Sus scrofa: one gene and its partner. The protein of the gene in region 1 purifies or fractionates together with the protein of each later gene. This does not show direct contact. Links are inferred from orthologs where the notes say so. Each region holds a gene or a part of one and is shown on either strand. Other genes may lie near its edges.

Region 1 (3,748 bases):
TTTCCTAGTCTCTCTCCCTTTCCTCCATCTCCGGGTGAGGATCCCACACGGCACCGCCGAAGTTCCCGGAGGGAGGGAGACGGCAGACTCCGGCGGGCCACACCGGCCCGGGGCTCTCCGTCCCCCGGTCTGGGCAGAGGGGCTCGAAGTCGGGGACGCTGCGGCCCGAGCTCCGGCCACGTGAAGTGTCACGCCCCGCGCTGCTGCAGGGCAGGCGCCGCCGCCACGGTTGTGTAACGTTGCAGCCCGAGGGGAGGCGACCCGAGCGCCTCCGCTCCGGTGGGGGCAGAGAAGGGAGGGAACGCAGGGCTCCGCGCCGGGTATCTTTCTGTGCTTGACTAGTCCAAGGCGCGCGGGGGGGGGGTACTCTGGAGCACCCTGGGGGGTGGGCAAGTGGGTGCCCGCCAGCGCTCAGGCTGTGCCCGGGAGCGGAACTCCGGGGGAGCCAGGGGCCCGCCGCACGCAGCCTCTCGGATCAGGTGCGCAGAGCGTGCTCGGCGGCGGCCTCGGCTGCCCCTGCGCTTGGCTGCCAGCCCGCTTCCCATGGGGTGACATCCGCCCCGCCCCTCGGCCCCTCCCCACGTCGGGCGATTCCTGGACTCTGGGCTGGAGGGTGGGGGCAGGGAAGCCGGCACCGAAAGAAACCCCAGCCCCTGGGGAAGGCAGGGGGGCCGGGCGACTCCCTCGGCTGAGCGCTGGTTCCTCCGAGCGGACCGCGCGGGGGGAGGAGGAAACGGGTTGGGCTGGAGCGAGCGAGGGGATATTCCTCTCCCGGCTTGAGTCAGAGGCGGGCGGATCCGTCCTCCCCCTTCCCTCCCAGGAGACGGGAACTTACTTCATTTCCCTGGGGCAGGTTCGCCCACGTTACCAACCTCCCCTCCCTGCCCCCCCCCCCCGGCTCCCCGGGCCCTTCCAGCTTCCGCGCCCCCCACCCGGCTGGGCAGGACCCAGGCCGCGCTGCCACCCCCTCTTCGGGGAAAGGCAGCCGCAGACACCTGGGGGCCGGAGCTGGGGGTGGGGGCTCCCTCGCAGCCGCGGGAGCGTTGTCCAACACGTGAGACTCATGTGATGAAGCCGGGGGAGGGCGGGCAGGTCGCTCCTTCCCTCCCCGGCAGCGGCCAGACGTGCCTGGAGTCACAGGGTAGAACACGTAGCTCCAACCCACCCACTCGCTCCCATTTAACCCAGCCCGCAGCCTCTCCATTACTCCTCGGCTCGTTCTCCCCCCACCCCCCCACTCCACCCTAACCGCCCCCCCCCCGCTCCCTCCCGCCTCCCCGCCCGCCCCACTTCTCATTCACTTGGCTCGCACAGCGCAGACGGCGCAGGGAGCACACATCGCCAGTCTGTGCGCAGAGCCTGAGCCAGAAGCCGCGGGGACACCATGCACGCCCCCAACTGAAGCAACACCTCAAAGCCGAAGCTCCGGGCAGCCGGAGGATTTCAGGGAGCTCAGACTCAGAGGAACTCCTGAGGAGAGACCCCTCGAAACCTCTCCAGGACAGTCCTCACCGGACTCTCTGCCACTGCAGACAGGAGCGCACAGTGGCCCCGGCTCGCCGCGCCATGGAGCGGATACCCAGCGCGCAGCCGCCCCCCGCTTGCCTGCCCAAAGCACCAGGACTGGAGCCTGGAGACCTACCAGGGTAAGTTGACACCCCCGGCCCCTTCAAGCCTCAACTCCAGTCCTGCGTTCTGAGCGACTTTCAACTCGGAATCGCTCTGGGCGCATATGCGGGTTCATGCCCGCCAGGGTTCCTGCAGCGGGTGCGCAGGCAAAGTCACGACCCTTCTTCGTCCCTCTCCCTGCAGGATGGATTTTGCCCACATGTATCAAGTGTACAAGTCGAGGCGGGGAATAAAGCGGAGCGAGGACAGCAAGGTAAGGGCCCCGGACCCCTGGGGACCCCAGCCCCTAGCACGCACTGAGTTCCCAAGAAAACTTTTCTCACTTTGAGGTTGGAGGGGGTATGCAAGGTGCGGGGTCCGTGCCTGGATGGCTTGGAGAAGAAGGTAGTTCTGGGTGTGACTCTGTTCATTTGCCCCTACTCTTCTCGCGCCGCGGGGTAAGGGAGGAAAAGGGCTTCTCATCCTCCTCCTCCGGAGCCCACCATTTCCCCGTGCGCCTTGCAGGAGACTTACAAACTGCCGCACCGGCTCATCGAGAAAAAGAGACGTGACCGGATTAACGAGTGCATCGCCCAGCTGAAGGATCTCCTCCCCGAACATCTCAAACTTACAGTAAGTGAGAAGCTGGCCCTTCTCCAAACCAGCTCCTTTGCCCAGAGGGCGGTCGGGGGTCACTCGCCGCCTGCAGGTCCCGCCGGGAACTGCAGGCCAGACGGCTGGATTCGAGCTGCTGGGTGGCTATTTGGGGTACACTTCCCCAGTCCTCAGAATTTTCTGGCAGCCTCATGCAAATAAGGTGAAAACCGTTTGTATTTCTCCAGTTGGCACCAACACCGGCTGGCCTTCCTTTGCAAGAGTTTAAGGCTCACCGTTCTGGTGATTTTCAAGGTTCTCTTGATTTCCTAACTTGAGCAAACCAAGCAACCTGCAATTTTTCTTAACCTCTTTCCTCCCCATCTCTTTTTAAAATGAGAGGACTTGTTTGGGTGTGTGATTTTTTTTTTTTTTTAAACATCCTGTCCTTTCTTGGCAATGGTCAACAGCTTACTAGCTTGACAGCCTTTGGTTGGGGAAAGGGAAAAAAAAAGAAGTATTTAGGGGGAAGAAAAAACTTAGATGAACTGGAAGTTATGACAGGGTGTCAGGAAAGAAACTAGGGAAAGCCTCTTGGCTGCCAGACACAGTAGAAGTCCTTCCTCGGGTTGACACCACTGCAGAGAAATGTAATCTTCGGATTCCCCTGAGTTAAGGTCAGCAGAGGCTGCTGGAAAAATTTATCTGTCAGAGCTTTCTCCTGAGGTAGCTGCTGCTTCCAAAATGCCTCCAAAGATGGGTGACACTCATTTGTTGTTTTTTAACTAGTTTTTTTTTAATAATTATATATATATATATTTTAAACATCTATAAACTTAAAATGAAATTTAGCCAACCAGGAAAGGTTGTTTTTGTTTTTTTTTCCCTTTAGAGACATCTCTCATTGCTAATAAGGGTCCCAGAGGTGGGACTTCTCTGAGCTCCCTGCTGACTGAGGCTCTTTTTATTCCAGACTTTGGGTCACTTGGAAAAAGCAGTGGTTCTTGAACTTACCTTGAAGCATGTGAAAGCACTAACGAACCTAATTGATCAGCAACAACAGAAAATCATTGCCCTGCAGAGCGGTTTGCAAGCTGGTGAGTTCCTGAGCCTGGCTATCTCCTAAGAGTTCTAGCACAAATGGAGAGCCTGTGGGCTCAACATCTGACATAAGAAACATTCCTGCAACAAACTGCTTATGCACATTCACTGGGGAAGATGCTGTTTTATCTTTCCTAAAAGGTCAGACTTTTCATTTGGGAGGCTGCTATGTGCCACCTGGCATGAATACGTATTAGTCAAACGGTAAAATATTTCTGTGGCATTTTGGCTTAAAGAGTTTCTAGGTTCTGGGAGTTTTCCCCCCCTTCCTTTCAAAATGCCAAGGCACCTATAATTTGCATCGTGGGTGTTTTACAGTTAGTCTTCTTAGCCCTGTTTCATTGGAGAATAAAATCATGGGTATGCCCCAGTGTTTTCCTGTGTCTCTACTTCCTTATCACATGGTGTGTGGTATGATCCTGGCAGGATGACAGCAGGAGTTTTT
Region 2 (3,648 bases), on another chromosome or scaffold:
ATAGCTACACTGATCAGCAGCCCGGGTGCCTGAACTGCCAACACACTTTACCCTACATAAACAAAGACTAGAAAATGTGATCTTTGTGGCAGAGGCATTCCTGCTGCCCATGATGCTGGCTCCAACTGACACTGGCACAGCTTTACTCAGTGGAAAAAAGGCTGTGGGGCATGTTCCTAGTTCAAAGATGGTAGTATCATCACTAACAAAATTTTCAAAGATAAGGCCAATTACAGAGATCTTATTAGACCAGTAGGTGAATTCTGACCATAAGCATTCCATTTGTCTATTGACATAATGTTTCCGAAGACCTGACACTCTGATGTTCCGCATTGGAAATCATCATGTTTTATCCAAAAACAAATCATTTGAGCCCAGAGAGTTCCTCCTGATGTGGGACTCCTGACATCAAGCTTAACTTCATACCTCTCTGGAGATTATAACTACAGATTATATGGAATGGTAACTGTGAAAACACTTTAAAGAAATATGAAGTTCCTTGTAAATGTATAATATGATTTTTATTGGGAAATATTTGTTTTTTAGGGGACAGTATTTATTCAAAAACAAACCTCCTGATGGGAATGCTCCTCCCAACTCTTTTTATAGAGCACTTTATCCTAAAATTATACAAGACATTGAGGTAAGAATATATGTATATTTGGGCATTTGCCAAATACTAGAGAATCATCAACATTCTTCAGTAACAGCAGTGTTATAGCAAACCCATTAAGGTTTATTGATGTGGGTTAAAAATCAGTTTCTTCACAAGTGAATAGGGAAGATAAAATATAGTAAATTGCCAAGCAAAATTTTAAAGCTTTTAAGTTATTCACTGATAAATACATGAAAGAGAGTATGATAATAGCTTTAAAACTGTTGAAGTTGCACTTATAAGCTGTCATTCAAATATCTTCTGAATTGAGCCTCTGTGGAAGCTCACTGGTAGAAATGGCTACCACAAATGTAAGATGAGCACTGAGCAGGTAACCTCATATGAGTCATAGCAAGTGGCAAAATATTTTACAACTTTAAATAGTGGCTTTTTAAAAATATCTTTAGGGAGTTCTCTTGCGGTGCAGCAGGTTAAGGATCTGGTGTTGTCATTGCAGTGGCTTGGGTCACTGCTGTGGCTCAGGTTCGATCCCTAGCCCAGGAACTGCCACATGCCGTGGGCATGGCCAAAGATTTTTAAAAATAAGAAAGTTTTTACATTTTTAGTATGTGTTAAGTTCTGTGTATCCAGTAGAGTAGAGCACTGAGCATTTGTCATAGGTTGCCATGAAATTCAGATGAGAGTTTAGTTCCCTAAAACTAATTACAGCTTCTTTACCCATTCCTTCCTCTCAGACGATAGAATCTAATTGGCGATGTGGAAGACATAGCTTACAGAGAATCCACTGCCGAAGTGAAACGAGCAAAGGAGTCTACTGTTTACAGTATGATGATCAGAAGATAGTAAGTGGCCTTCGAGACAACACAATCAAGGTGAGGTCTCTTCAGTTATGGGAAGGTGGCTGAAGGGGTGAGGGGGACTACAATCCCTAAAGCAATCCAAAGCATAAACTCTAAGCAGTATTTCCAGAAAGTAAGTGAGAGTCCCAAAGCCAAAAATCGTTTCCTTTAAGGAAAAGTACCTGCTTACCCACAGAAACACATGCAAATGGGTAGTGCTAAGGTTAAATTCTCTTCTTGAAGTGCCCTGAATGGGCTATTAGTCTTTTGGCCCTCACATAATTATAGGCTACCCCTGTTTCCTTAATGAAAAGGATCAAGTCTGCATTAGTACTGAAGCCACATATATATAGGTGCTTCGCTATACCTATAGAGAAGAATGCATTCCACACTACTCTGGGCTTTGATTCTTTTGGGGACTCAAACACAAAATAGAGCCAGCAAGTCTCTGCAGCACCCCATTATCATAGTGATCAAAAGGATCTTGTTTGCCATCCTAGATCTGGGATAAAAGCACATTGGAATGCAAGCGAATTCTCACAGGCCACACAGGTTCTGTCCTGTGTCTCCAGTATGATGAGAGGGTGATCATAACTGGATCGTCGGATTCCACAGTCAGGTAGAAAATTTCAATAATCTTTAGAACTCTGAAATGTCAGGTGTACTCTATTCTGTCTTAGTAATTTTGTATATATGTGCATGAACATAGTTCGAAAACTTTATAACTAAAGAATAAACCATCAGCTCCCTCCATAGTTGTGTTAATCTAGAACTAGAAAACTTGATTTAGGAATGGTTATGATAAGTTTACATTTCTGCACATTTAAGAAACTATATATTCTGTTTTAATTTGGGGGAATCATCTCTTATAGAAACGTGGTAAACCTTGCATTTCTTACAAAAACCACCTCACAGGGGAATGACATGAGTGGAATGGAGCCTTCCTTTCAGGTGGTTATAGCTATAGTGCAGGCACGCATTATCTCCTTTAAAATGTGTACAGGTGAGCAGTACTCTCTCTTTGCCAGCCCCTCCCCTGCTGTCCCTGCAGTTTTTAATTGCAGGCTTCACTCAGGGAGGGGGCTTCAATTTCCAGAGGCATTAGTAATTTGATGACACAGCCATTATGCTGCTGGAGTCCAGTGTAGCTTGAGTTCTGGGTACCAGCAGCACTGCTGGAAACCTCTGTTAGGAATTTTGCCTTGAGCTAAAGGGTTTAGCAAACATAATGCATCAAAAGTAACTTTAAAAAAATAGAAAAAAAAAAAAAAAGCAGTTAACTGCATTGTTAGATTCTCTGAAGTTAAAAGTTTACCTTCCAAGTTATCCTCTGTAAATAGAAAAGGCCATTTCTTTTTCTTGTCTTTTGACTTAAAGGCATAGCAGACTCAGTTCTTAGAGTTATCAACATTTAACATTTATTGATGCTTATGGAGTGCCTCAAGGAAGCTGAAAGTTAATAGAAGCTAACATCATTTCTAGGATAAGGGAAAAAATGATTTCCTGAAAGAGGGGGTTAAACTGGAAAAAGAAATAAAATGTGTTAGTAAAACCAAAGTAAACGTACAGAAGTAGAGTGGTCAAAGCAAAATATATCCTCACACAGCAGTCTCAAGCTATTCAAGGGTCCTGCCCTCTGCTGCGAAACCTATATATATATTGGGGTGGCCATTCTTGATACCTACCCTCATTTAAGACACAGAAATGGGGCCTTAGATTTAGGGTCTAGGTAATCTTAGGCCTTGACCTGTGTGGTAAAAACCAAGATCCAGAGTCGTCAAGCTCAGATCCATAGTACTGAGTCATCTGTTAGAGAAGTTTCTTGGCCTCTATCTGTTCTAAGACCTGAGGGCTGCCTCTTGGGACCACCAGTGCTGCAGTTATTAATTAAATATATCAGATTGTGGAGTTCCCTCATGGCCTATTGGTTAAGGATTCGGCATTGTCATTGCTGTGGCTCAGATTCGATCCCTGGCCTGGGAACTTCTTCATGCCATGGGTGCAGGCAAAAATACATATATGCGTGTATTTCTTAAATTTTAAATTTTTCTAACAGATTGAGTGTCAGAAGCTTTATAGTCATCTCGAAGTCTGGGGCCAATTAGCTGGTGACTGTGGCTGCAGGCTCATTCCTGCCCCCAAACAACTAGCACAGATTTCCAAGTTGTGTATCTTAAGGATTTCACACTGGCA

Evidence for each region. The genes of interacting proteins can lie anywhere in the genome.
Region 2: the proteins of BHLHE40 (region 1) and BTRC purify together in Homo sapiens (affinity purification with mass spectrometry; 3 studies listed by BioGRID and IntAct, counting the BioPlex papers as one, with this or other methods). This does not show direct contact. The link is inferred for Sus scrofa from reciprocal best matches to the Homo sapiens genes BHLHE40 and BTRC.

The regions. Positions count from the first base shown.
Region 1 is NC_010455.5:61,526,712-61,530,459, forward strand, and holds the start of BHLHE40 (class E basic helix-loop-helix protein 40), read left to right. Parts: upstream 1-1,300; 5' UTR 1,301-1,566; coding exon 1,567-1,646; exon of another isoform or gene 1,647-1,806; intron 1,807-1,812; coding exon 1,813-1,882; intron 1,883-1,952; exon of another isoform or gene 1,953-2,127; intron 2,128-2,133; coding exon 2,134-2,241; intron 2,242-3,175; coding exon 3,176-3,299; intron 3,300-3,748. UniProt on the Homo sapiens protein: Transcriptional repressor involved in the regulation of the circadian rhythm by negatively regulating the activity of the clock genes and clock-controlled genes.
Region 2 is NC_010456.5:112,562,711-112,566,358, forward strand, and holds part of BTRC (F-box/WD repeat-containing protein 1A), read left to right. Parts: intron 1-546; coding exon 547-643; intron 644-1,350; coding exon 1,351-1,488; intron 1,489-1,955; coding exon 1,956-2,074; intron 2,075-3,648. UniProt on the Homo sapiens protein: Substrate recognition component of a SCF (SKP1-CUL1-F-box protein) E3 ubiquitin-protein ligase complex which mediates the ubiquitination and subsequent proteasomal degradation of target proteins. Recognizes and binds to phosphorylated target proteins.